7 linked regions of the Tribolium castaneum genome follow. The protein of the gene in region 1 purifies or fractionates together with the protein of each later gene. This does not show direct contact. Links are inferred from orthologs where the notes say so. Each region holds a gene or a part of one and is shown in the gene's direction. Other genes may lie near its edges. The genes, in order: RnpS1, su(w[a]), putative RNA-binding protein Luc7-like 2, AMPdeam, pea, NKAP family protein CG6066 and uncharacterized protein LOC661495.

Region 1 (3,673 bases):
GTTCAGAAATGTTACTCATTAGGTGCTAATTAAATTTTTAATGTTCTGATATGAGCGTTACATTGCCAATCCGTAAATAACTTTCAGCAGCTGTGATGTAATTTATTGTAAATATGTATTGAATTAGCTTATTGTCATTCTAAATTTACCGCTTTGTAGATTAAATCAGATTATATGAAATTTTTATCTAATTTTTTAATAAGCACAAACCTGAACTAATCTACGAAGCGAATTTTGTCATGAATCATTTTTCAATTTTTCATAAAATTGTGCGTTTGTACTAGTTTTAATAAAATCACCAGAAACGTTATGTTGAATAAAATGGTTAACATTACTTGTATATTTTATTAACGAAATGTCGGGGACGTAGACACCTTGTTATTGTAAGACCGCTGTGTAAACCCACTCCGAAAAATGGGCGCCCTTGCGATATTTTTTGTGTCAATATTAAAGAGTATTTTTGCTGCAGTGCCAATTGAACGAGCTGAAAAGTGCCCAAGCCCCCTCGGCCCTCCGTTCAACCCTGCTCGATCCTGCCGTGAACTGCATCCTTCAGCAGCTAAAAACCGAGCTCCAATCGACCCGTTCCGAGCTTGAGGACACCAAGAACGAGCTAACGGCGTGGAAATTCACCCCCGACTCGAACACGGGCAAACGCCTGATGGCGAAATGCCGCCTCCTGTACCAGGAGAACGAGGAACTCGGCAAAATCACGAGCTCGGGCCGCATCGCGAAGCTCGAGAGCGACCTGGCGCTGCAGAAGAGCTTCTCCGAGGAGGTCAGACAGAGCCAGAACGAGCTGGACGCGTTCCTGGCCGACCTGGACGAGGACGTCGAGGGCATGCAGAGCACGATCCTGTTCCTCCAGACGGAGCTGCGCAAGACGAAAGAGAGCGCCCAAGTGCTGCAGAAGGAGAACAGTACGCTCAAGCTGGCCAATGGGCGGTCGAACGGTGACAGTGTGTGTGAACAGGAACGGACGGACTCGGACTCCGAGGCGGAGAGGACTACTTGTGTGAAACGCGTGCGAAGGTCGTCCGTCCTCAGTATCGACTATAACGAGGACGACGCCCTCGTCATCAGCACGAACGGTGACGTCGCGATGGCCTCCGACCCAGAATAGTGAGCTGAGATTAACCCAACTATTACGCATATAAACTGACGAACAGTATATTCAATTGTACATAGAAATATACTAGCCTAATGTGGTTGTTTCGAATTGTGACTTCAATCATTACTAAATTGTGTTGATCACTGCGGTGCAGTTGCAGAATTTTTTCTATTAGTTTTGGCAACAATGCAATATTTTATTACTTTCCCCCATTCAAGGTGTTATCAAGGTGCGCTTTTTTATCCATTGTTCGCATTTTATTCATTCGACCGACTCTGTTTTAAATTTGTCAGATTGTATCATTTTTTAACGTTTTTATGTTGAAAGTTGTATTTATAAAATAAAACAAAAATTATATCACTTATTATTGACCACGGTGTTTTACTTGTAGCTGCGGGGGTGCAAAATTCAATCTCCCACCGTTGGTGTAGCAGTTACAAACTTAAAGTCACCAGAACAGCGCTACCAACATCAAGTGGTCGTAGTAGCGTCGTTTTGCTAATTTTCCACAATTACACAGTTTTTCATGTAGTTTTCATACTTCCGCGTTAATACAGTGAAAGGTTTTAGTTCTAAACTTGTCCCGACTTTACAGGAATCAAGAATAGTCAGAAATGTGAGTATTTACGTTTTGAGGTTATGTTTGTAGTCCGGGAGGGCTTTCCACGATTTCCTTGTAGTTTTAGCACATTTTAACTCCCATGCATCACTTGTGTTTGCTCGATTTGCTTCCTTCAAGGTTCTTCAAGATCAAGATAATTTGTATTACAACAACTGACTTGTTTGTTCACTCCCGGACACCATTACTTTTTACAAATTTTTTGAGTTGGTTTTTATTGTTCTTAGGGCAAAAATAGGTTCTGATACGGAAAAGGACGACAAGGATAAGAAGAAAGAACGTGGTAGGGACCGTAAACGGAAGAGTGAGTCTGGTTCAAGCAGCAGCGATAGCAGCAGAAGGTAACACCCGAGTTTGAAGAGTTTGTAATCACCTAAAACACTTGATTTAGTTCTTCCGACAGTAGCTCGTCCAGCTCGCGCTCTTCGAGCAGTTCCAGTTCGGGCAGCAGTTCCCGCTCGAGCAGTTCCTCCTCGGAGTCCTCAAGCTCAAGCAGCGATAAAGACCGCAGTCGCCCCAAACGCCGTTCGCGCTCCACCAGCAAACCCACCCGACGCAGCAAAGAGCGCAAAGACAAAGACAAGGAAAAGGAGAAGGAAAAAGATGTCAAAAAGGACGATAAAGACGAGGTCAAAGACAAAGACGTCAACAATCGCAAATCCCCAGCGAAAGACGACAAAAACCACACCCGTGGCAAGTCTCGTTCGCGCTCGCGCTCAGACCGGCGCAAAAGGCGTCGCAGGTCCCCCACGCCACGCCCCACGAAAATCCACATTGGGCGTTTAACACGCACCATCAACAGGGAGCACATTATGGAGATTTTCGGGACGTATGGACCAATCAAACATGTGGATTTCCCCAAAGACCACATCCACCCACACTTGGGGCGGGGCTTCTGCTACGTGGAGTTCACCAATGCGGACGATGCCGAAAACGCGATGAAACACATGGATGGGGGGCAAATTGATGGACAGGAGATCACGGCGGCTCCGGTGCTTGTACCCAAGCCGAGACCGCCCCCCATGAGGCGCAGCCCCATGCCGATGCATATGAGGAGGCCTCCGCCCCACAGACGCACCCCGCCCAGATTCCGGAGGCGGAGCCCCATGCGACCGATGAGGAGGAGCCCGCCGAGGAGGCGCCCCCATTCCAGGAGCCCCCCGCCCAGGCGCAGGAAGCACAGCCGCTCCAGTTCGAGCAGTTCCAGATGATTTTTTCGATTTTAATTTTTTAAGGTATTGTAATGCGTGAAAAGGAATAAAACCGGAATTAAGGTATTGATAATCAAAGATTGATAAATGATAAAATTATTATTTTGTCATATTGGTATTACCACGTATTGCCTATCACATAACCTAGCTTTCTTCAAATAATTGTTACAAATGAAATTGATGGAAAATTGATGAAGATGACTCGTAAATCGTTTAAGTGATGTCTGTCTCACATAATTGTGATGAAAACCGCCGAAATCTCTTATCTGAAGTAATAATTTATTTTGACATAACCTCAAATTTAGCCTTTGCTCCAGGTTGAATCAGCAATATCTAACAATGACCTTGCCACCCTCAAGCAGCTTTTACCGCACCCTTTTGACCAAACCACCCTTCAGGACGAAAACGGCAACAACCCTCTGCACTTATCCATAATTTACGAAAAGTATGATCCCCCCTAACGTTCAGTAAATCCCTACCAAGTCCTGGTTTCAGGAACGCAATTTTTGACTACTTGCTTGATAAATTCGACTTGGAGGCGCAAAACCACTCCGGACACACAGCCCTATCCCTGTCCCTGCTCTACCACAGCGACATTTTCATAATCGAGTACTTTGCCCTGGAACTGATCCGCAAGGGGGCCAACATTGAGGTAGTTTTTAGCGATAATAACACAGTACTGCACTTGGCCCTCCAACGTCACTACTTCCAAGTCGCCCAGCTTGTAATTGA
Region 2 (4,253 bases), on another chromosome or scaffold:
TATATGTTTAAACGCTTGAAAAAGATTCGATGTTTTTTTGGCTTATTTTTGACGAAATTTCTTAATTAATTGCGTTTTTCGTTGAGAAATGTGTTTAAATGCTTAAAAGTAAGTTTACATTACAGTTTTTTGGCTATTTTTGACCCAGTTTAGTGACTTTTTACCAATTTAGTAATATTTTGAAAAAAAAATTGGGTATGCAACTCAAAAATTTTCCCCTAATTTCGCGAAATAATCGCTTCTATTGCCAACCTAACCGGTTGAAATTTTTGGTAGCAATGCAGGCGCAACAAATGTGGTCTTACGGCCACAATATCACACTTTTTGCTGCGGGGGCTAACAGTCGCTCCGCCGGAAGTGGCGGAAGTGGTGTTTATCGCGGTGTCAAAGGTCTAACAGTTGGGGGCGTTGTGGCAGAGGGTGGAACCCAAGCTTTTATTTATCAAGGTGATGACAAAAAACAAGCGAGTGAAGATGTGGACGAATTGGCGAAAAAAATGGACGGTTTTCACTTGAAAGTTGATGACAGTGTTCAAGGTGATTTTTTCTTGTATTATTATTTTTTTTAATAATTAATTACGAATCCTAGATTACAAAACTGTGGTTTTGAACACGTCTGTTAAATCCACAAAGACTGAGCTTTGCTACGAGAATGAGGACAAGGAACAGTTTTGTTGCAATTTTACAGTCGAGACAACTTTAGATGCAATTAAACCCGACTTAAACTTTTACACTTATCGCCTAGTGGCGTTTTCGGGGATTCGGTCATATTCAGGCGTTGCCAATGGTGGGATTGAAATTTGCGGGATTATCGCCTGTTTGAATAATTCCCTAACTTCGTGTGCCCAAAGATTCCCGAATTATGATAAAGTCCAGTGGCCCGTAACGTTTGAAAAAATCACAATTTCCGCAAATTTTGAGAAGAGCGAAAATCATACGCAATTTCCCAACTCACTTAAAAGCTCCATACGACCGATAGACACAACTGAAACGGCCTGGAGTGGGTCACAAGTCACACGAGACGGAAAAGATTTGATAGAGCGCAAGTTTTCCATAACTAAGCCTCAGAATAGGTTGCTAACTTTCGCTATTTTTGGACGCAACTTTGAACAAGACTCCACGCCACGTGATGATAACAACTCAAGTGGCCACTTATCCGCACTTTGGGTTTTATTGTGCACGTCATTGTTTGTCTTGTATGAAATAAAGTAAAGTTGCTCACCCTTTTAGTCGCACAGTGCTACCACTTTTAATAAAATTCAGAACTGCCAACTGACACATCCATTTTGGATCACACGGTACCGGTGCACTTAACGCTGTTTTTGAGTAAAAGGCGCCGAATGGAAATAATTAATTTACGTTTCGTTAACTAATGGGCTCTGGTAACGTGTAATTAGCCAAATATTCGTAAAATTGTCCATTATTTGGTTTTGCGTATTGTTGGTTGCCGGGGCAACCGGCATTGTTTGTAAAAAATGTTGCCAACCGTACAAAAAATCAAAATGGCGCAGTGGGGCACAACTTCAGAGTCGGGTATTTTGCGCAAAAACAAGCCGAAAGAGAACCACGACGATCTTTTAGTGTTCGGTTATGCGTGTAAATTGTTCCGCGATGACGAAAAGGCCTCCTACATCGATAAAGGCCACCATCTTATCCCGTGGATGGGAGACGACAGTCTCAAAATTGATAGGTTAGTTTTACTTTTGGTTTACTTTGAATTGATTTGGTTTTGCGTAGATATGACTGTCGGGGCGCCCTGTCGGACATATCACCGTTTGAGGCGAGTCGGGAGGGTTTTGACGCCATGCGGTGGTTGGGTTTGAGTGACTCTGAGAGGAAACTTGAGCAGTTGTGTGATAAGGAACGGTACTATTCGTTACATATCAATGAAGAAGAGGAGCAAATGTACAAGGAGGAGGAGCAGAAGAGACAGAAAGCGAATGAGTTTCAGTACAGTTATGACGTCCCGGCGAACCCGGCGCCAGAGAGCGCCCCCACGGTGGCAGAGCCCGAGGAGGAGGACGAGGAGTACGTCCCGTCACCGCATTTGGACGTGCCAGTTGATATTGCAATAGTGAGTACAGGCGAACAACGTGAAAATGACGCCTCGATAAACCAGCCAACTAGACGTAGTTTCAAGATAAATTCTCTTAGGAGCCACTTTATTCAGCAATTTTTTATGTTTATCTTTATTCATCAATGTTTGAAAATTATAATTTACACATAATAATTCGACAAATCTAATTTGTTTCGTTGTCAATTTTTATTAATTTTTATAAATCATTTAAAATAGTATTGTTTTACATAAAAGTTTAAAATAGACAGCCTAAGAATTTTGTACAAGAATTATGTTACCTAATTTAATTTTGGACGACAGTTTATTAGAGACAATATTACATTTATAATAATTTGTCTTTGGTCAATTTGGTCTTATTTAATTTATTTACTATTTATCTTATTTATTATTGTAACTTATTTTTAATTTTGCAAAATAGATGCGTATATTTGGTGGAAAAACTTGACTAAATGCTTATCTTTGATGAAATTTCGCGAAGTAATTGCTCCCATTACTTTATTTCCGCTGAAATTTAGTGGTTTTGTGACTTCGTTTGCCAAAAATTTTCAGTAGTAACTGACTTTTTAACTTAAACACGTTCTTAAAAATTCAAAATCTGTACCATTTTCACATAATTTACAGATTTTTCGGCTGATATTTGTCCAATAATTGCATATCTATTTGAAAAACAGGCTTAAATACACAAAAAAGTAACAAAATTAGCTTTATTTTGTGACTTTTTCGATCATTTTTGATAAAATCTAGTGAAATATTGCTTTTATCTTTGGGCACATTTAGTGGTTTTGCTAGGTTTGGCAAATATTTACAAAAAAAAAACATTTTTAAGCTCAAAAACCTGCCAAACTTTTGAAAAAGTCAAAAATTATTCTATTGTTATGTCTTTTATTAATGTTTTGACGACAATTTTTGCTCAAATTCTGATGAATTCATTTAGAAAAGTCAATAATTACGCCATTTTGACATAATTTTGCAAATTTTTGGCTTATTTTTGATAAAATTTTGAAAGATAATTGCATGTCTGGCTGGAAAACGTCCAAGAATGCCTTTTTTTGGCTTAGTTTTTATGGAATTCTGCGAATAATTGTTTCCGTTGGTTTATTTTCGGCCAACTTTAGTGATTTTTTGGTCTAGTTTATCAAAGATTTGCAAAAAACTGGCTCTATTTTGGCATTATTTTACTGATTTTTTGGCGAAATTTTGCAAATTAAATGCGAATTTGGTCGGAAAACGTGTTTAAATGCCAGAAATACGCAAATTTGGCTTAAATTAATAATTTTTGAGCTTATCTTTGATGAAATCTCCCAAAATTATTGCTTCCAATATTCTATTTTTGTTCAAATTTAGTGATTTTTTGACTTCGTTTGATAAAAATTTTCAGCAGAAACTGACTTTTTAGCTCGAACACGTGCTTAAATCTTCAGAAAAATTCGAAATCTGTACCATTTTCATATAATTTACAGATTTTTCGACGAAATTTTGAAAAGTAATTGCATATCTACTTGAAAATCGGGCATAAAATAAGCATAACTAACAACATTTCAGCTTTATTTTGTGACTTTTTTTGATGAAATTTTGTAAAATACTAATTAAATGTTTGGTTGAAAAACGTGCTCAAATGCTTGAAATAAGCAAAGGTTTTTTGACGTAATTTTGCGAAATAATTACGTGGTAATAAATGCTGGAAAACGAACAGAATAATGCTATTTTTGACTCAATTTAGTGATTTTTTTAATCAAAATTAATAATATTTTGCAAAAAAAAATTAGGTATGCAACTCAAAAGCGCTTGAAAAGGCTATTTTTTTATGTTTATGTTTATTCACCAACGTTTCAAAATTATAATTAACCCATAATAGTTTAAAAAATTATATTAATCAATTTTATTTTGAAAAAAATAAAGTAAAAAAAAAGTATTAAGTTAATAATGATTTGTTTTTTAATGCACAATTTTATTAAATTAAATTAAATTTTTCATTACATTTAAAAATACGCAACATTTTCATTTAGTTAACTAGACAAAATAAGTGGCAACTTAATTTGAATTAAATTTATTTTGAAACTAGGTCAAGTTTGCAATTTAGTGTCAGAGAGGTTAAATTTTTCTACATTTTTTTTTGTTTATTTAGCCAAAAACCGTCAAAGAAAATATTCGGATCGAGAAAACGGCGCTTTTCGTA
Region 3 (4,610 bases), about 4.0 Mb from region 1:
TCGTTAATTATTTTTTTGTATCGGTTGTACCATAAAACATAAGTAACTTCATCTTTCTGTTCTGTTTGTCCCTTCCATGGTGCTAAGACTTAATAAAATTTTTACCATTCTCTTGGCATTTTTGGGTAAAAGAAGCCCTAAACTTGGTGTTTACGAATATTAGCATGTGTTCATGTTTGATTAACAAGCGTTTTTTTACCACCATTGCTATGCTTGTAATATGCTTTACAGAGTCCTAAGAACTCAAAAAAAAATTCTGCCCAAGCACGAATATCTGTCCTTGTTAATGGTATGCGGTGGCGATTTTAAATTTTTATTGATGCCAGAGGAGGAGATACACTGTACTAGTAATCATTTTTGGTTTTAATTGATACATCCATCATTCATGCATTTTTTTCAGAATATTTTTGTATTGTTTAAAATTGCTTTAAAAGAAAAAAAAATTGTTGAAATCTTATTCTCGAGTAAAAATGATCATTCTTAAACTTCTAGTACCATCTTTCTAAGTAGTTATTTTATTTTTGATATTTAATTCAACATCCAAAAAATGAAATATTGCAAAACTTTTGAATCTACGAAATTTTCTACCCATCTTTGTGATTCATTTTAACGGTTTTTATAAATATTATCAGTAGAAAAGGAACTTAGTACCAGTCCAACTATTTGCACCCTACAGTTGTAAAATTTTAAATACGAACACGAAAAACACAAATTGATAGCGAATAGGACATAAAGAAGACTTTACATTTTATTGTTAAATATTATGTTAATTTAAAATGCACTAATTCCTACAATTATTCTCGAAACCGAGGAATAATGCAGTGTGCATTGATTTACGATTAATTTACTTTTTGTTTATACATGATGGATGGGACACTACCAGAAACTAAAAAACACTTCAGAAATTATTTACCAATTATAGTACGTCAGCTGTCAACAGTATTTTATATTATTGCCTACAAGGCAATGTATGTAAATGTTGGAATTCACTTTAAATAATTATCGTCTCATGTTTTAAATCCACAACAACAAAAAAACTTTTTTGTTGTAAAATACATCAAATACAAACTGAATCGTATATTTTGAAAGAAACTTTGCATTATTAAATTTATTTTGAAAATTACGGTGTCAGGTTGCATTATTCCTGGAATCGCTGAATTAAAATTAAATTAAATAAAAAATTATTTAATAGTCAACCTAAATTCTGTGCAATTATTTATTTCTGAGATACGTATAGTAAAAATATAGTACTTCATTAGTAGTCTCACTTTGTATGGTCGTCATAAGGATAAGCATCTCCTTTTGACATTTGGATTCAAGTGTTCACTTTTAGGTTGAAGTGATACTTTTAACTATTAAATACTAATATTTGTAAGTATGTTTATAAGTATTAAAAAAACTGATAATTACAAATTTTTATGAATATCACCCAATACCCAATAAAATATAAAACCAGTGATAAAAAATTCCTGAAGGCAATGGAACATCTGCAAGCTTTTATCACCGATTGCGACCGTCGCACCGAGGCCGCCAAGCAACGCCTCGCCGAAACCCAAGAAGAACTATCGGCTGAAGTGGCCGTTAAAGCGAACAGCGTGCACGAATTGGCGGAACAAATCGGTCAAAAGCTCGCCAAAGCCGAGCAACTCGGCGAAGAGGGTTTTGTCGACGAAAGCATGAAACTCATGGAGGAAGTGGACGAATTGAGAAAGCGTAAATTGGAAGCCGAGCAAGAGTATCGCAATTCAATGCCGGCAAGCAGCTACCAACAACAGAAATTACGAGTTTGCGAAGTTTGTTCCGCTTATCTCGGCATACATGATAACGATCGACGTCTCGCTGATCATTTCGGCGGGAAATTACATCTTGGGTTTATTAAGATTCGGGAAAAGTTGGCCGAACTTGAGGTAAGGATATTGTGTTTTATGTACAGCTTGTACAGTCACCTAAATTGAAAATGACGCAACCAAACCCTGTCATATTCAAAAATCATCAGAGACATTTCGTTATTTATCCTTTGAAATGATTGACGATTTTTGGTTGGAGATGGTTGATTAAAAAACATGACAAATGAAACAATTTTTCACGGCCTCTTCGATAAATACATAATATTTATATATAATATAAATATATACATGCAATTTTTAAATTCCCCGCAAAAAATAAATTAGTTTGCATATTTCATTCACCAAATTAGATTGAAGTTGATGTTCCACTGGATTTAATGCATTTTTGAATCAGATACTCATTTATTTTACAAGGTTAGGTCAGAGAACGTCTAAAATTAATAAAAATATATTCTAAATTGGTGGTATTTGAATCGCTCTGGTTTATTTTTGTGCGAGATTACATCAAAAATAAAAGAAGAAAAAAGTTATTAGTAAAAATTATGTTATCCTCCCCTCCCCTCTCAAGCCCCGTAACTGGAAAATTACAAAATTAGGTCGAATTGATTAAATTTCGTTTATTTTGTTTGATTTTGAACACGTCAATAATTTTAGAAACATTTTCAAACAAACTTTGGTCAGAAGGTTGTTAAACTTAGTTTTTTGCACGATTTCACTAGAGGAGACCGAAAAAGCACCAAATTAAGTATAGCACTACACAATTCTTGTTTTTTGAGTGTTTTAGCACATTCTCCAGACAGAAATTGCAAAACTTCGTTAAAGTTAGCCGTAAAATCACCAAAACAATTAATTTATTTAGATTATTTCTCTCGATTTAATGCATTTGGACTTTATTTTGCAAGATCATTCTTAAGCTATGTTAACTGGATTAAGCTCTGTTTTGTATGAAATTTTTTGTGGTCAAAAATATGTTATTTGTGTATTTTTGGAAACACGTGTTTGCAAGATATATCTTCAGTTTCTTGCAAGAAATCGATTGAAAAATCATTTTTAGTCAAATAACATTCATTTTCCTTTTCCATATGTTTTGATATAGTTTTAAGGAATTATTTCTTAACATTTTCAAATAAAACAGCAAACAAAATTTCAACAAGTTAGACCCCATTGTTAATTCGAGGTTTTCGAATTTTTAAACAGGTTTTTGAGATAAAAACGGTGTTTTTTTAAGAAAAATTTTGATTATTAGGTTATTTTTACCAGCTTTCGTCGAGAGATCTATCTATTGTTCAAGAACAATAAATTTTAGTTAAATAGTACTGCTATTTCTGCGTTTCCCAAGAATTCAAGCACTTTTTAGAGCTAAGGTATCATTTTTTCTGAAGATTTCGATGAATTTAAATTCAAAATTATCTTGTTTTTGTCTTTTTTTAGCATTATTTAGCAGGATATTCTTATTTAGAATAGAAACTAAGAACAAATCGAAAAGTTTCCCAGTTATACTAAAGTGGGTGTTATTTTAGTTTTCTTCGAGTTTTGTTGAAGCAAAAAAAGTTCTTTTCGAAAATTTTAGGTAAAATTGGGGAAAAAAATATCTAATTAGATCGAAATTGATGTTAATTGTCTTTTTTAGATCGACTTTACAAAAGAACTCGTTAAAACACAACAAAAAATTACAAAATAAATGGAAATTGATGTTAGTGTCTCTCGATTTAGCTCATTTTGGAGCAAAATTACTTCAAAATAAGCCGAAAAACCGTAACATTCGGTCTGAAATCATGTTCCGTTTTTGAGTTAAAAATATTAGGTTTAGAGATGTCGCTAAAGAAAACCAAAAAATCACCAACTTTTGGCTTTTTACACTTTAGTGCTTTATTTAAAAAAAAATGGGCATAAGTGGCTGTAAAAACATCAAATTTGATCGAATTAATGTTAATCTTATTTTATTTCAGTCATTTTCAAGTCTTGAACCTGAAACTTATTTATTCTATTAAATGCTCCCAGAAATCACAATAAATCACATAAAGTGATCATAATAAGATTAAAATATTTTGCCTGTTTCAGGCAATTTCTTTTGTTTTTAAGCGAAATTTCGTCAAGATAGGCTGAAAAATGTCAAAATGTCGACCAGAAAAAGGTTTTTTTTTTCTCAAGCTTCTAAACACGTTTTTGAGTTTCTTAACTAAATAAATCGTGCATAAAGCTCATCTAATTGGCCAAAACTCAAAAAAAATTTAAATTTTTCAGTATTAATTGACCTGCTTTAAGTATAAATTAAATTTAGAAAGTAAATTCACTCCAAACTCAATAATAAATCGACATTTTTTCATTATTCTTTCTTCACATTAGATTAAAATTAACCATTTGGAGACTAGAAACGTCGCAACGAATTAAAAATAAATATTTTAATGCCATCTTTAACGTAGTCAATATCAACCACTTTAAGGAGTTTTAAGTAATTTCAAAATATTTTATACTTTTATATATTGTAGAAAAACGCCGAGAAACGGAAGGAGGAAAAGCGCAAGTCCTCCCGTGACAGAGACCGGGACGATCGGGAAGATAGATACAGGGAGAGACACCGCGAGCAGTATGTCGGGGGGCGCGAACTGGACAGACGCTCCAAAAGACACCGTTCCAGATCCTGGGACCGCAAAGAAAGGGAAAAGAATGACAGGGATCGGGATAACAGGTCTCGATCGCATCGCTCCAGATCCAGGAGTCGGGAACGGCGCTCACACTCGCGCCACTCAAGTTCCAGCGATA
Region 4 (4,551 bases), on another chromosome or scaffold:
CAAGGCCAATACGATGAAAATGGACAACTGATTCAAGAACAACAATATGATGGTGAACCACAAATACCAACGCAACAATATGATGATCAAGGTCAATTTGTGCAACAATATGACAATAGTGACCAGCCGTACGATCAGAGTGAACAACAGTATGATGAAAACGGACAACCTGTGCAACAGATTACTGAACAAGGTCAATTTGTGCAACAGTACGACGAAAGTGGACAACATATTCAACAGTACGATGAACAATACGGACAACAGTACGATCAACACGGCCAGTACCTACAACAATATGACGAAACCGGACAACCTATTCAACAATATGATGAAAGTGGACAACTTATTCAACAGTATGACGAAACTGGACAGCCTATTCAACAGTATGATGAAAGTGGGCAACCTCTTCAACAATACGACGAAAGTGGACAACCTATTCAACAGTATGACGGAACTGGGCAGTCTATTCAACAGTATGATGAACAACCTGTTCAACAATACGACGAAAGTGGACAACCTATTCAACAGTACGACGAAAATGGACAACCTATTCAACAGTATGACGAAACTGGACAGTCTATTCAACAGTATGATGAAAATGAACAACCTATTCAACAATACGACGAAAATGGACAACCTATTCAACAGTACGACGAAACTGGACAGGCTATTCAACAGTATGGTGAAAATGGACAACCTATTCAACAGTATGACGAAACTGGACAATATGGGCAACATTATGACGAAAACGGACAACCGACTCAACAGTTTGATGAAAATGGACAACCTATTCAACAATATGACGAAAATGCGCAATACTATGGCGATCAAAGTAATGTGCAATATGATGAAAACGGTCAAATGATTCAGCATTATGACCAACCGTATGATGGAGTGGTTGAGCAACAGAATGAAGTCAAAGGGGACGATCAGAGTGTTCCTGCACCGTCAGAACCAAAGAAAAGTAACATTTTGGAACTGTTAGATACTGACACTGAAAGTATGAAGCAGGAGTCGAAAGTTTCACACGATAGTGATTTTGATTTCAGTAATGAATAAGTTTGGTAGTTTAGCCATAGAAATGTAATGAATGACACACTTGATTTAGGTCTGTGATTCAGTTTTTTTAATACAACACTAATAAAAATAATCGGTGTTTTATTTCCTAATTCCTAAACTTGCTCCTGTGTAGCTCAGCCATTAAACTGAAGGTCATGCAGTTTCAGAGCGAATATGTTGCATTTTTTCATGTTTATATTCGCTCATTTGGCATGATTATTAAATTGACGCGTTGCATCTGCCTGATTAATAAACCTGGCTAAATATAAATCGCGCAATTGCATTTCCTGTTATCACAAGCAGTGATAAATATATGCAGGTATAGATCAAACCAGCATCTTCCATCCTAATTAAGTGTGTCATTGAGTAACAATGCGCACAATTACCACAAAGCCCACCCGAATAATTAATTTCAATAAGCCGTATTTATTTATACTTAGTGGGTTTTATTTTTAGTACTTGAACGAGATAAGTACAGTTCGGTACCCACCTACGTTTTCGCAACACATGTGCTTAAAAAATATTTAATCGTTCCAGCTTTATGAGTTATCTTTTCCGACGTATCGAAAGCACACACACATATCGTGAAAATCTTCCGCTGCGCGTTTGCTGGAGGCGTCCTTATGCGGTGCCAAAATCAATATTTCCTCCACGAACTCTGTGTCGATGCAAACACGTACGGTGTGTGCTCTTTTTGATACGTCTGACGTGTTTTTTACATTGGTAAAAGCAGTGCTAAAAGACTCAGTGGGGTTCCAGTGCAAATTATGGCCGATTTGTACACCAATAATTTGAGCAAGCCCAAGTGTTCTATGACTTTTTATTCGGATTTTGGAGATGGGGAGACTGAGACTGACATTCTTCAACAAAGACAAGGTGGGTATAATTAGCTTTAGGCTGGTTTAGGTTATGTTACTGAGTCATTGATGGGCTTAAGCCACTTGCGATTTTCATTAATCAAACCACACTGTATTCTGTGAGGGAGAAAATCAAAATTACATCAATATTTTTTTATTAAATCAATAAGTTTTGCCCAAGATTAATGAGTATTTTATATGTAACCATTCATTCATAAATCATAATTAATTACCTACCTATTCCACGGAACAGAATGAATAAATTTTTCGCATATTTAATTTTTTAAATAATTATAATTGAATAGAAATAATTAAATCGCGTTTTGACGCCTTTTGGATAAATTAGATCAACTTGTGCAATAAACAAAAATATTAAAATGAACTCAATAATTTGTCACAAATTTCTCAATTTTTGAAAATTCATTTTTCGGAGAAACTTAAATATTTAAAAATAAAGAGCTGATTAAATGAAACTCCATTAATTGTTTACATTTAACATCGACCTTAAAAAATGCTAATGTAAATTTGTAGTGGCTGCTTTCTTTGATGACCTCGTTTTACTTTCAATGTGCCAAGAATTTGATATTCCGAAAAAATAGTTCAAAAAAATTGTGGTTGCTCTTAATAACTTTCTAAGCCTTTAATCGAACAAGGAAAGATAAAATTATTATTACATATTTGTTCAGAACCGATAGAGCAGATAAGAAAAGATCGTCAAAAAAATAAATTAAGGTGAATGAAATTTAATTTTAGAACAATCTAAAGAATTTTATATTGATAAGTTCTATAAGTGTGAATGTCTAAACTGGATTAAGATTTATTTGTTTTATTTTAGAATTTAATTATAATAGTAAGATTGTTAAAATCTGGGGATAAAATTCAAAGGTGGGTATATTTTGCAACATTTTCATATCCAGTTGTTTATAATTATTATCATTTTATCTTTATTTGTAGTTTACTTAAAATATTGTTGTACAAAGTGTTAAAATACTTCTTGTTAACAACTGTTGACTTATTTTATTTCGAAACAACGAATGCATTATTCGAATATATTTACCTAATGTTTAGTAGCAAATAGTGGTTTGGGTTTGCCATTGGTTTGTTGTTTTAAATAAAAAATGCGAGGTATAATTATGAACCGGATGCCGGAACTTCGTATCAGGTCTCTGGTGATTGCTAATTTAATAATTAATAACAAAGTCAAACTTGACAAATTTCAAGCTGTCACAATATCGAATTATTTTTTAAGTCCAAAAGGCAAAAGCTGAGTGTTTGATCTGGAAATGTAATACATTTTTTCCGCCAAAATCGGGGTTTTAATGAGTACAAGAGGCTTCCCTTCTCCAGATCCCGATAGCACTAGCTCAAACTCCATTTCAGGTAGGAATAAACCTTATCGTATTATTTAAATACACCGAGTGTGCTAATGAAGCCATTATCACAACCTTGAGCGAAATTTATTGTGCTAAAAAGTTTCGTACGAAGTCAAATTGTTACCTAGTGCTCTTCCTGAAGTTTATTTTCGTCGTAAGAATTTATTGTTGGAAAATTGTATTCGTATTTTTGGGTTGTACATGTGCCAGGCTGTTCGTGGTTTAGTTTTTATCGAATGGTTCGCTTGTAAAGGCGCACACGAAAATGTGTTCTCGGGGTGTGAATTACCGAAATTCGGTGGATCTGCCGGTGGTTAATGCACCGGCGTTTTTACGGGTTAACTCGTTCGTGGATGAGGATAAACCAGCATCAGGTAATTCCCCAATAAATTCAGGGGCAAGCTGAGCAATTTACTTTCGGCGTAATTGATATTCAGATTAGATAGAGAGCAATATGCATGAGGGAAAATCTCCAAGTATTATGTCAATACACGTACTGTAATAAACCCTCGCGTGCTGTTTTTTATTTAGTGGGGATGTTATGATTATGTAATTGAGCTAATTTGATAGATAGCTGCATGGAGCAGAACTTGGTCGTCGATTTTCCAACGCATGGAAATCAAAGATTGCAAGCTTTATTCAGTTTGAAATAACGGTCCAAATATTTTTGTTAATTTCTGGCTGAAAAATATCAATAATTTGCATTGTGTTCTTTTAATCAAATCAGAAAAATCTGATGCATAATTTTTGATAAATACAAAATGATTGGAATGTTATTATTTACTGAAATACTGATATACTTGTACTAAGATTGAGAACATTATACCTCAGCCTACAATTACTAAACAAACTACAACGCAACTTCTGAGATCAAGGATTCAAGGACCTTCATTTATGTCTAAAACAACGTTGACTTGTAGCCAAACTTTTTCAAAACATTAAATATATTAAACGCAAATGTTTCGCCGAAAATACCTCTCTTCGCCTATTTATAATTTAGACGTATCACTGTTTACTATGAGTCATAATTTCTCCCCAGTTCTCTATTAAAAATAAATTTTTCTTCGTCTAGAATGGAAATTTAGCAAGTCATTAGGACTTCGAGACCGGTTCACACTATTTTCGGTTTTACTAATTGCTTTCAATTAGTGTTTGAAAAATGTAACGGAATTTATTTCAAAGTGTAATTGACGATAAGACGATCTGTTTTCATATAATTTCGTTAAATATTGCAACAGTTCTTAGTAGTTGGCTCATCAGTG
Region 5 (4,517 bases), on another chromosome or scaffold:
AGACTGGTAAGAAAATTCCATGTCAAAGTAGATAATGATTAATGGCTGTTAAAATATACCTTGAATTATATAAATATGTAACCATTTAACAATTGAGGACTAAACCGCAAAAAAGACGTACAAAATTAAGGAAATCAGAGGAAATCTTGGGAAAACCATGGATCTTAAGATATCAAAAAAAAACAAAGAAAATCATTATTAAATCAGAAGAAAATCTGGTGTACAGAAATTTGGGGTGCAGTTTATGTACTCCTCGTAAAAAAGCACAAAAGTACCTGTATCCAAAAAATGAAGAAACAATTAAAGCCGCAACCAAAAACTATTCAAGTCAAGTGATGGATAAAGTTGTCGAAAATTTCAATTTTCAAGTGGGGCAACATGAAATTCAACCTGTTTGTGTTAAAAATTACGGGTTATTAGGTTTTGAAATAGCCAGTCCGGCCCTGTGCGCTTAGTCTTATCCCCATCTGGCCGCCCTGGAACAACCAGCCATTGTTGGGAATTGGGCCGAATCCAACCCCACCCTAATAATAAATTTGTAACATTTCGAAATTGCATCGCATCCTCAAAACTGAAAATTGCATCGAATGTAACAATAACAAGTCACACAATGCAATTCAATTGCAAAATAGACGCCAAAGTTATATTTCCGTTGTTATTACAATGAGATTTTTCTTTGGGGATGAATCGTCAGCTGGCGAACTACTTAACGCCCTTTCGACACCTCAATCTTCCCCTGACTTGATATCGGACACCCCCTTGGTATAATGGACTGTTGTCTTATCACTCCTTATCACAATAGTACTTGACTATACCCCGATTGCAGCCTATTTCGGACTATTGTTGGCTCGAGGATATGAGCTGACATCCGCACACTCTCATAATACTCCGCGGAAATACTACTCTAAAGCAAATTTAAACGATAAGCGAGAGCGCTGTTTGCCCCTTTTAGGGCAATTAGCCCAACAAAGGCCCACGAAATACCGCGCAAAATATTTACGCATTTGCGCGATCGGTCTCAACTAACGGGGGCCGAAAGTGGTTATTGCATCTCTAGGAAAAAATACATTTCCATCGACTTTTCCCTTGATTTAAGCAGATTCTAGCGTCTCTTGAGAGACTATTTCGGCTTTCTCGGCGCGGTCTAAAAGGGATTATTATTTTTTACGCTCTTTGTGACCCTTTTTAAAACGGAATGTGGGTCGTTACGTCCCTTGAGAAAAAAAATTGCAAGAGAAATAACACCAATAACTGAAAAAACGCCAGTAAACAGATTTTCCTAAGCATTTTAATTTTTATAAAGGTTATTTAGAAAAAAATTTTAGAATAATATAAGTGCTCAAAATTTGGAGTTTCCAAATTTTTTTAAAAATTCAAAAACACTAAAAAAAGATCTAAAGCTTCTCTTCCAAATAAGTCAAAAATTAATTCAAAACATTAAAAAAACGGCAGAGTTATCTATGTATGATAAATGAAACCAAATTCTTCTGAATAAAGTTTTGTGTTAGACAACCAAATAAACACACAATTTAATTTTTTTTTACAAACCATTTTTTTTATTTTTGTACATTTTATTCTAACAATACAACGTGATTAAAACGTATTGTTATAAAAATAAGGCATTTACTACAATTTATGAAAATAATTATTAACAATTATGTGATAGTGTTATGTAACCAACATTACATCACTGACTTGCGCATGCGCCAGTAATGCCAGAATTGTCAGAAATTTTTTGACAATTGACAATTTAGACAACAAAACGTTTTTGTGGTTTTTACCCTAAAATTAACAAAAATGAACGAAGTTGAAAAACTAGAATATTTATCCCTCGTATCTAAAGTATGCACCGAATTGGAAAACCATCTCGGGATGAACGACAAGGATTTAGGTTAGTTAACCCCAACTCTTGATTCCGCCCCAACTAACCCTCATTTCTCCCCAGCCGAGTTCATAATCCACCTCTCCGAAAAGCACGACACTGTCGACAGCTTCAAGAAAGTCCTTGTCGAGAATGGTGCTGAATTTTCCGACTCTTTCGTCTCAAATTTGCTCCGTATTATCCAACACATGCGCCCCAAAAAATCAAGTCAGGCGAGTAAAGTGAACTCGAGTCATGAACAGGATTCACTAGCTGCGAAATTCCCGGGTTTGGCGTTACCGAACGAGGTGCAAAAACCCCTCACACCAGTGGTGGAGACCAAGGGGGAAGATGAGGATATTGTGGCTGATTTGATGGCTCAGTTGGAGGCTGATGCCCCCTCACAGGCGAAAAATGATAAGGAGAAGAGGGAAAGAAGTCGGAGTCCTGAGAGGAAGCGGCGCAGGAGGGAAAAGTCCAGGTCCAGGTCGAGAGATAGGAGGAGGAGGTCGAGGGAGAGGTCTGGGAGGAGGCGCAGGAGCCGGAGCAGGTCGCGGAGGAGGAGGAGCAGGAGTGCGTCCCCGAGGAGGAGGGACAGGAGTGCCTCCCCAAGGAGGAGGGACAGGAAAATCAAGCGGGAGAGTCCGGAATTGGACGAAGATCCAATCCCTGGAAAAGTAGGTTTTTCTTATTTATAAAAATCTGAATTAAATAGAAAAAACAAGACAAATACTACAAAAACAAAAAACTTAAAATTATGATTCAGTTGAATCACATTTTTGCCGAATGAAATTTTCATCTTTTCATTTAATTTTCATAACAGTGCTAATTCTTAATTATTTGGCAGATTTACACAGGAAAAGTGGCAAACATTGTCCCTTTCGGTTGCTTTGTCCAGTTGGAGGGTTTACGGCGCCGTTGGGAAGGTCTAGTGCATATTTCGCAATTAAGGGCTGAAGGTCGCGTCACAAACGTCTCTGAGGTCGTTTCACGTGGAATGAAAGTCAAAATAAAAGTACTATCAGTAACCGGACAAAAAGTCTCCTTATCAATGAAAGACGTTGATCAAATAACCGGAAAAGACCTCAATCCCCTTTCACACGCCCCTGCAGAACGTGAAGATAAAGACCGGAACCCGGATCGTCCAATGAACACCGGAACTTCCGTTTTGCGCCTTCCTGTCGGCATCGACGAAAACGAGGAAAACTCCCGCAAACGTGTCACCCGGATTTCGAGTCCGGAACGCTGGGAAATCAAACAAATGATTTCGTCCGGGTGTATCGATAAGAGTGAGTTGCCGGATTTCGACGACGAAACCGGACTTTTGCCCAAGGATGAAGACGGAGAGGCTGATATTGAGATTGAGTTGGTTGAGGACGAGCCTCCTTTCCTCCAAGGTCACGGGAGGGCGCTCCACGACTTGAGTCCCGTCCGTATTGTGAAAAACCCAGACGGTTCGTTGGCTCAAGCCGCAATGATGCAATCAGCTTTGGCGAAAGAACGTCGTGAGCAAAAAATGTTGCAACGAGAACAGGAAATTGATTCGCAACCGTCTGGGAAAAATAAAAACTGGATTGATCCACTGCCCGAGGATGAGAGTAAAATGAATTCGGCACGTGGGATTGGTTTACAATCGCAGGATTTACCCGAATGGAAGAAACACGTAATAGGGGGGAAGAAATCTTCGTTTGGGAAAAAAACCAATTTGAGTATTTTGGAGCAGAGGCAGAGTCTGCCCATCTATAAGTTGAAGGAAGAGTTGAGGAAAGCTGTGACCGATAATCAGATTTTGATAGTGATTGGGGAGACAGGGTCTGGGAAAACGACTCAAATCACGCAGTATTTGGCGGAGAGTGGGTTCACAGCCAGGGGGAAAATTGGGTGTACGCAGCCTAGGAGGGTGGCTGCCATGTCGGTGGCCAAGAGGGTGGCCGAGGAGTTTGGGTGTAGGTTGGGCCAGGAGGTGGGCTATACGATTCGGTTTGAGGATTGCACAAGTCCAGAAACGATCATCAAGTGAGTATAACAAAACAATATATTTGGTTTCAAAAGTGGGTTTAAAAATAAAATAAAAAATTACCACATCGAAACATATTTAAAAAATAATCAAATATTATCACAATTTAAAGACATTTGAAAGGAAACTATTCTTTGCAGATACATGACGGACGGCATGTTGCTTCGTGAGTGCCTCATGGACCTCGACCTCAAGGCCTACTCGGTCATAATGTTGGACGAAGCCCACGAACGCACCATTCACACCGACGTCCTCTTTGGCCTCCTCAAACAGGCCGTTACGAAACGTCCCGAACTCAAACTAATCGTGACATCGGCAACCCTCGACGCCGTTAAATTCTCACAATATTTTTTCGAAGCCCCAATTTTTACAATTCCAGGCCGGACATTTCCCGTCGAAGTCCTCTACACGAAAGAACCCGAAACGGATTATCTGGACGCAAGTCTAATCACCGTTATGCAAATCCATTTACGGGAACCCCCCGGCGATATACTTTTGTTTCTAACCGGACAGGAAGAAATCGACACGGCTTGCGAAATTTTATACGAACGTATGAAATCATTAGGACCGGATGTCCCCGAATTGATTATACTTCCGGTGTATTCGGCGCTTCCGTCCGAGATGCAAACCCGGATTTTT
Region 6 (3,128 bases), on another chromosome or scaffold:
GCACAATTATAGTAACTGTTGTCTTTGATTTTTGATTAGCTGTTTGCAATACTAGTTTCCTTCCAAAAGTTCGAGGTTGAGTTGCTTTCTGAGTCAAGGAACGATTAAAGTGGATCAAAGAATAAAAAACAATTTTAAGAAATGGCGTTAAAAAGAAAAAGAAAAAAATATGCATTTAAATTTTTTTTATCTAAATAATATAGTAATAAAAACAATTTTTTTCGGTCGTTTTATAATTTATAATCATACCTTGCATTTTTTATACAGCGTTGGCGGAAGTATAGAACCAAGCGTTTTCAAAAATTGTTTTTTTCGAAATTTTTGTTTGTTATTGATTACGTGTATAATACACGTATTAATAAATTTTTTGAAAAATTCAAATAAGAAAAAATTTACCAATCGACCATTTTATTATATTGAGTAAGATAAAAAAATAACTAAATCAAATATAAATATAAATATAAATAAATATAAGAGATTTTTTAAATGTTTCTTTTTAAATAAAAATTGACCTGTCTCAAAAATTTTATTTTTTTTGTTTTTTTTTACTAAGATATTTAAGGTGGCTTGTTTTTAAACTAAATGTGAATTTTGTTGTTATACTTTTGGTTCAATCTGTTTACAGTCTTAAACGTGAAACTGTATAACGATTGAAATAGTGTGACTTCTCTGATAAAACTTTACTCACAGCAGACGCTTTTCTGACTGAAAACGCGATGAAACGCTCAAAAAACTAAAATTTTTGACCTAATTTTGTTTAGCAGCAGGAATTGAAGAAAAAAACAGTAGTAAATTAATACAAGTATAATAAAAATGGGTAATTTTTAATACATTTTTTCTATTTTTGTAGATTTCAACCAATTACTAAATTGCGCAAACCGCAGTGGAACCCCACATCCGCCCTAAATCCGCACACTTAATCAAAATTTCAATTTGTCGTTTTGTGGTTTCCGTTTCTTCGACTCTTGCACCTACACAACATCCAATTCCATTCATCTTAAAGCCCTACAAGTGTTAACAATGCAGGCAAAACTTTTCTTAATCCTTTCCCTTCTAACTGTTTTTGTGTACGGCCAAAGGCCTCGAACAAAATCGGGAGACTGCCCCCCGTACCCCAACGTGGGGATCTGTGAAGTGGCCTGTTTCGAAGACAACCACTGTGCCGGCCATTTCAAATGCTGCCGGACGGCTTGTGGCGGCACTTTTTGTACGGCCCCTGTAACAACGAGGCGAATTCAAAGAGGAGGTGAAATGGATACAATTTTTTTTAAAGAAAATTAATTTGTGTTTTAGAGAAACAAGGGTCTTGTCCAGTTGCACCGTCAGGCCCTTGGGTGTGCTCCAGCAGGTGTGCCCTAGACTCGGACTGCAGGGGGGCTAAAAAGTGCTGCAGGAATCGGTGCGGGGCCATGGCTTGCACCAAACCCGAATTTTAATCAGTTACAATTGTAGTATCGTTGTATGAATAAAAATTAGCAAATCGACGCATTTTGTGTTTTATTTATTTCCTTAAAATTTGAAATGGTTTGAGCAAATGTCAATTCTAGCTTATGGGAATGACGTAAAGTGACTTCAGTTTGACAGTTTTTTTTAAAGGTTATGTTATTGTAAAAAAATTGATTTTTTACGAAATGATGGATGTGGCAAAACACAGACGCAGTCGGTCCCGTTCCCCGGACCACCGGAGACACAAAACTGATAGATCGTTTAAAAATGATCGTAATAGGAGACACAGGTCCAGGTCTCATTCCAGGTCAAGAGACCGCCATTCCAGCAGACGCAGGTCTAGATCCAGAGGCACCACAACAAACGGTTTTGAACGAAACGACAAATATGAAGTCACAAAGAAAAAACACCTTGAGGACGAGTTCATGGAGTCCCGACGCCAGGAGCGTGAGATCCTCGGAATGAGGGATTACCCCAGCATTTGGGGCCAATCCCCCGAACCCGAAGACTCCGACAGTGACGTCGAAGACGTCACCAAGAACGCCCCCAAGCTAAAAAAACGGAAGAAGGAAAAGAAAAAATCCCACAAGAAGCATAAAAAGAAGAAGAAAAAGAAGAAGTCTTCAAGTGAGAGCAGTTCAGGGGAGGAAGAGTGGGTCGAGAAGACCACAACCACCAACAAACCCCAAACCAATGCGGAAGAGACCGAAGAGGTGATCGTCGGCCCCATTTTGAAGCCCCATGCCGCCCTGACTCACAAGGAAATGGGCAAGGCTTTGCTCCCTGGTGAGGGGGCTGCCATGGCTGCGTACGTCGCCGAAGGAAAACGGATACCAAGAAGAGGTGAAATTGGACTCACGTCTGAAGAAATTGAAAGTTTTGAAGCCGTGGGTTATGTCATGTCCGGCTCAAGACACAGGAGAATGGAGGCTGTGAGGATACGGAAAGAAAACCAGATTTATTCAGCTGATGAGAAGCGGGCTTTGGCCATGTTCAGCAAAGAAGAACGGCAGAAGAGGGAGAACAGGATTTTGGGACAGTTCAGGGAAATGGTCAACTCCAAACTGGCCGAAAAGAAAAATTAATTTCGTAGAATTGAGTGTTTATTACGTATAAATAAAGTTTTTTTATTACTTAATTTGTTTTACATTGTTGTACCCAACCGGTCCATCCCCCAGGGAAATGTTTGGCGCTGAAAATTGAACTTAAATTTCGGGTCAAAGTGGCCTATGATTTCGAATTAAGTTGGCAACATCTAGTTGCCAACTAAATTTAAAAATCACAGGCGACTTTAATTAAAGACGGAACAAAACGAATGTTTTACTTTACGTATCCCAGATTTTTGGCTAAATCTAGCGCAGCTCGGCTCCGCCGCCCCGACTGACAACTGAAAACTAAAGGCGTGGTGTTTGTAGGCTTTTCTCTTCGGAAAACTTGACGAAATTGTTCATCACTTGTGTTCTGCAGCGTTTCTTCTAAAGTGGCCACTTGAAATGAAGTACTTTGCAGTTAATTCATAAGTTAATTAGGGTATTTACAAGGTATATTGATGCTTCCAGGAATTGTTCCAGTTTGCGCTAATTCCGACGGGTTCCTCACATCAATTAGAAGAACCTGTCTGTTGTCTTTTAGGCTTCTAACGTAGTCAAAAGTTACTTCGTCTGACATTCTGTGGCTTATAT
Region 7 (3,437 bases), on another chromosome or scaffold:
GGCATGTTTCAATTGAAACGTTCAACTCACTTTAGTCAAATCAGTTGCCGTACATTCAATCAAAACATTTTTGGTGTTGAGTGTAATTTTGGAGTGATCCCCATTAATAATCGGCGGAAGGGATAAAATAACCCCATTACTGTCCAAAACGAGTGGATATACAGGGCTGTCTTTGATGATGTGCAAGTATTGTTTTAGCTGCGCGTGCGCCTGAAATATCACGTGACTGTTGGGAATCCCCCAAACTCGGTCAAAATCTTACTGAATAGAGCTCCATAACGCCGTTGCCGTCACACTCTTTGGTTTGATTAAGTGGTACAAACTTAAACTCAGAAGGTGGTTTAGCGTCATAGGTGAAGGGCCCCTGAACTGTATCTAAATCGTGCGTCCCGATTGAGACAAGCGTGCGTTTGCGGCAAATATTCTGATGCAACTTATCTTGCAAATCAATGAAACTGTTGTAAGAATCTTGAGTGAAGTATAAATTACGCAAAACGGCGCCTACGATATAAGGCCTGATTTTCGCCGTTTCGGGTGTGACGTGAATTTTTTGAATACTGTCTGATGACGGTTTGATACGTTTGTAAACCGGCGGCTGAATTCTACAAAAACATTACAGTGCCAAAGTCAAGGCAAAACTAATGACTCACTTCCCCTGAAATATTTTAATTCCTAATGAAATGCCTTCAAGACACAATAAATCGTATCTGTTTGCAGGAATGTCAATTCGATAAATGACTTCCTCGGAGGCTCCCGCCGCCTGGGCTGAATCCTCCCCTTGTTCCTTACTTATCATCTGTTTTTCAGTTGTCTTGAAATTTAGGGCATTATTGCATCATTTTATCGCTTGAAAGATTAATACTTACGACTTCGTCCAGTTCAAGACCGAACTCGAAGCATAAACGCTGGAATTCATCGTCGGCTGGAAATTGCAAATTGGGGCAATAAGGGGGCACAGTGATCAAACAACTTACTGAAAGTGCGCCCAAGGGCTTCGAATAGCAAATTGCGCTTGACACCCACAGTCGGCATTGTATTTTTTATTTACTATCACGTTTTTGTCTAAAAATGAACACGTTTAAAGTGTTTCACAACTGAAAAAACGATGACATGTGCGGGACCTGTCAATGTCAAAAGTTGAGGTTGGGTCAATTGTCAGCATCAGCGATCAGTTTTCGAGAAAAAACGCCAGTTTTTAAGATTATTTAACAATTAGTCTTCGTCAGAACTATAATCGGAACATAATAATGCAAATTTAATTAATTTTTTCCCACAATATTTTTTTTCGCCGGTTGTATTGGCACACCTGTCAATTGCGAGACGTAGCGTTTCTTATAACCTTAAAGTTACTTCGCCCAAACAAACAAAAAATGGGCTCAAAGAAGAAGAAGCGCGTTTCCAGCAGCTCCAGTTCATCAGATTCAAGCAGCGAAAGCTCCGATTCATCACCCGAACGGCGCCCGAAACGTAAAAGCAAGAAAACCGAATCGAAACCTGAGACTGAAGAATCGCCGAAGAAAACCAAAACGAAGGCAAACTCGCATAAAAAACACGAAACTCCGCCTGTGGCAAGTGACGAGGCGAATAAACAGGCAAAAAAGAGGGACAAAAAGCCAACAAATGAGGAAGAAACCGACAGGTATGATTGTTGGTGGTTTTAAGGGAAAATACTAGTTGTGTTTAAAGGAAACGCAAGCGGAGTCCTGTGCCTGAAAATCGGGACAGGCGGGAGAGGGACGATAAGAGGGTCCGGGACGATCGGGGGCGGCATGACGACAGGAGAAACCGCCCCAATGACCACCGTTCTCACGATAACAGGTTCAGAAACCGGCGTCCTGATTACAGAGACAGGGAACGGGATTACAGGAACCGACGGGACGATAACAAAAATTACCACAACCGGGAGCGAAACAGAGAGAACCATCCAAGGCGGCGTAGCAGAAGCGCCTCCTTTGACCACTCGAACGCCCGTTGGGGCCGCGAGTCGGACGACAAAAAATCCGACAAGAAGGAAAAAGACCAGAAGGAAAAGCAAAAACCGAATTTCGGTCTTTCGGGAAAACTTACCGAAGAAACTAACACTTATCGTGGCGTTGTTATAAAATATAGCGAGCCGCCTGAGGCTTGCAAGCCGAAACGTCGGTGGCGGTTGTACCCTTTTAAGGGCGAAAAGGCCCTTCAGACTTTATACATACATCGCGAAAGCGCCTACTTGATTGGGCGCGATCGCAAAGTTGTTGATCTCCCTGTAGATCACCCTTCGTGCTCAAAACAACACGCAGCTTTGCAGTATCGCCTAGTCCCTTTCACGCGTGAGGATGGCACCACTGGTTTGTGGGACAGCTGGTAGTGTGTTGGGTTTTTCATTGTTTTTTTCAGGGAAGAGAATAAGGCCGTATTTGATTGATTTGAACTCGGCTAATGGGACTTTTATCAATAATAAGAAGATAGAGCCGAGTAAATATGTGGAGTTGTTGGAGAAAGACGTGATCAAGTTTGGGTTCAGCTCAAGGGAGTACGTTTTATTGCATGAGAATAGTAAAGATGAGACACAGGATGACGATGTGAAGCAGGAAGAGCCGGCGGTTCAAGTCAAGAGTGAAGAGAATTGAATTTTGTGTATATATTTTAATTTAGCTTAGGTTTCTTTCAATAAAGTAATTTTTTCGATTAAAATTCCCGCTCTTACGATTTAGTTATTCTCTGGGCAGATGGCATCGCAGTGTGCGCGTTATTTTGACATTTGTGTATTTGAGGTTGTGTTCGAAATAAAAACTGTTCAATTGATTATTTCGTTTAATATTTAAACCCGTGAGTGTTTTTCCCCATCATTATGTCGTCTCAAATGAGCACGAAGGAAAAACTCCTTTACATCCTCGACGATATTGAGTTAATCTCCAAGTACGTCCCCCTTTCGGGTCATTTCGTATGGTTTTATTTGCGTTTTTTAGAGAAATAATCGAGAATTCAATCGCCCCCAAGCACCTCAAGCTTTCCGGCCCTGAATACGCTCAACTGACCGAGCTTTTGGTGGCCAAAAACACCGAACTGACTGAAACCCTTAAACTGGCCGCTGAACAGGCGCAAATCGACAAAAAAATGGACATCTTGAAGGCCGAAGTGGAGCGTCAGGACAACGACATTAACAACTTGCAAAAACAGCTCAAAGAGGCCGAGCAAATCCTGGCCACTGCGATTTATCAAGCCAACCAGAAACTCCAGTCCATTTCCCGCGCAAATAAACGGCCGGTCTCGTCCGAGGAACTTATCAAATTTGCGCACAGGATTAGCGCGTCTAATGCGATATGTGCCCCCTTGACGTGGCAACAGGGGGACCCGCGCCGGCCGTACCCCACCGATATTGAGATGCGGTTGGGGCTGCTGGGGCGGCTGATGAGCGATCCAATTAACGGGCATTTGTTGCAACAGCAGAACAG

Evidence for each region.
Region 2: the proteins of RnpS1 (region 1) and su(w[a]) purify together in Homo sapiens (co-immunoprecipitation; 3 studies listed by BioGRID and IntAct, with this or other methods). This does not show direct contact. The link is inferred for Tribolium castaneum from reciprocal best matches to the Homo sapiens genes RNPS1 and SFSWAP.
Region 3: the proteins of RnpS1 (region 1) and putative RNA-binding protein Luc7-like 2 purify together in Homo sapiens (affinity purification with mass spectrometry; 4 studies listed by BioGRID and IntAct, counting the BioPlex papers as one, with this or other methods). This does not show direct contact. The link is inferred for Tribolium castaneum from reciprocal best matches to the Homo sapiens genes RNPS1 and LUC7L2.
Region 4: the proteins of RnpS1 (region 1) and AMPdeam purify together in Homo sapiens (co-immunoprecipitation; 3 studies listed by BioGRID and IntAct, with this or other methods). This does not show direct contact. The link is inferred for Tribolium castaneum from reciprocal best matches to the Homo sapiens genes RNPS1 and AMPD2.
Region 5: the proteins of RnpS1 (region 1) and pea purify together in Homo sapiens (co-immunoprecipitation; 3 studies listed by BioGRID and IntAct, with this or other methods). This does not show direct contact. The link is inferred for Tribolium castaneum from reciprocal best matches to the Homo sapiens genes RNPS1 and DHX8.
Region 6: the proteins of RnpS1 (region 1) and NKAP family protein CG6066 purify together in Homo sapiens (co-immunoprecipitation; 3 studies listed by BioGRID and IntAct, counting the BioPlex papers as one, with this or other methods). This does not show direct contact. The link is inferred for Tribolium castaneum from reciprocal best matches to the Homo sapiens genes RNPS1 and NKAP.
Region 7: the proteins of RnpS1 (region 1) and uncharacterized protein LOC661495 purify together in Homo sapiens (affinity purification with mass spectrometry; 4 studies listed by BioGRID and IntAct, counting the BioPlex papers as one, with this or other methods). This does not show direct contact. The link is inferred for Tribolium castaneum from reciprocal best matches to the Homo sapiens genes RNPS1 and SNIP1.

Annotation. Positions count from the first base shown.
Region 1 is NC_087399.1:5,873,372-5,877,044, forward strand, and holds RnpS1 (RNA-binding protein with serine-rich domain 1), read left to right. Parts: upstream 1-1,568; 5' UTR 1,569-1,725; coding exon 1,726-1,727; intron 1,728-1,957; coding exon 1,958-2,071; intron 2,072-2,121; coding exon 2,122-2,941; 3' UTR 2,942-3,019; downstream 3,020-3,673. Other genes in the region: fl(2)d (pre-mRNA-splicing regulator female-lethal(2)D), read left to right, coding at 470-1,123; ankyrin-3, read left to right, coding at 3,162-3,212, 3,259-3,386, 3,437-3,673. UniProt on the Homo sapiens protein: Part of pre- and post-splicing multiprotein mRNP complexes. Auxiliary component of the splicing-dependent multiprotein exon junction complex (EJC) deposited at splice junction on mRNAs.
Region 2 is NC_087401.1:16,305,510-16,309,762, reverse strand, and holds the start of su(w[a]) (splicing factor, suppressor of white-apricot homolog), read left to right. Parts: upstream 1-1,406; 5' UTR 1,407-1,475; coding exon 1,476-1,690; intron 1,691-1,737; coding exon 1,738-2,074; intron 2,075-4,202; coding exon 4,203-4,253. Other genes in the region: vanin-like protein 1, read left to right, coding at 277-537, 590-1,212.
Region 3 is NC_087399.1:9,864,616-9,869,225, forward strand, and holds part of putative RNA-binding protein Luc7-like 2, read left to right. Parts: intron 1-1,475; coding exon 1,476-1,907; intron 1,908-4,336; coding exon 4,337-4,610. UniProt on the Homo sapiens protein: May bind to RNA via its Arg/Ser-rich domain.
Region 4 is NC_087396.1:12,808,695-12,813,245, reverse strand, and holds the start of AMPdeam (AMP deaminase 2), read left to right. Parts: upstream 1-1,530; 5' UTR 1,531-1,826; coding exon 1,827-1,935; intron 1,936-3,121; exon of another isoform or gene 3,122-3,235; coding exon of another isoform or gene 3,236-3,296; intron 3,297-3,386; exon of another isoform or gene 3,387-3,554; coding exon of another isoform or gene 3,555-3,663; intron 3,664-4,492; exon of another isoform or gene 4,493-4,551. Other genes in the region: uncharacterized protein LOC103313680, read left to right, coding at 1-1,059. UniProt on the Homo sapiens protein: AMP deaminase plays a critical role in energy metabolism. Catalyzes the deamination of AMP to IMP and plays an important role in the purine nucleotide cycle.
Region 5 is NC_087395.1:23,613,591-23,618,107, reverse strand, and holds the start of pea (ATP-dependent RNA helicase DHX8), read left to right. Parts: upstream 1-1,714; 5' UTR 1,715-1,797; coding exon 1,798-1,891; intron 1,892-1,945; coding exon 1,946-2,538; intron 2,539-2,708; coding exon 2,709-3,877; intron 3,878-4,018; coding exon 4,019-4,517.
Region 6 is NC_087400.1:4,954,102-4,957,229, reverse strand, and holds NKAP family protein CG6066, read left to right. Parts: upstream 1-1,539; 5' UTR 1,540-1,631; coding exon 1,632-2,531; 3' UTR 2,532-2,584; downstream 2,585-3,128. Other genes in the region: waprin-Rha1, read left to right, coding at 1,021-1,246, 1,294-1,436. UniProt on the Homo sapiens protein: Acts as a transcriptional repressor. Plays a role as a transcriptional corepressor of the Notch-mediated signaling required for T-cell development. Also involved in the TNF and IL-1 induced NF-kappa-B activation.
Region 7 is NC_087397.1:1,785,317-1,788,753, reverse strand, and holds uncharacterized protein LOC661495, read left to right. Parts: upstream 1-1,176; 5' UTR 1,177-1,370; coding exon 1,371-1,639; intron 1,640-1,686; coding exon 1,687-2,330; intron 2,331-2,379; coding exon 2,380-2,612; 3' UTR 2,613-2,676; downstream 2,677-3,437. Other genes in the region: beta-PheRS (phenylalanine--tRNA ligase beta subunit), read right to left, coding at 31-210, 263-602, 651-811, 867-922, 975-1,032; MED4 (mediator of RNA polymerase II transcription subunit 4), read left to right, coding at 2,834-2,901, 2,952-3,437. UniProt on the Homo sapiens protein: Required for pre-mRNA splicing as component of the spliceosome. As a component of the minor spliceosome, involved in the splicing of U12-type introns in pre-mRNAs. Down-regulates NF-kappa-B signaling by competing with RELA for CREBBP/EP300 binding.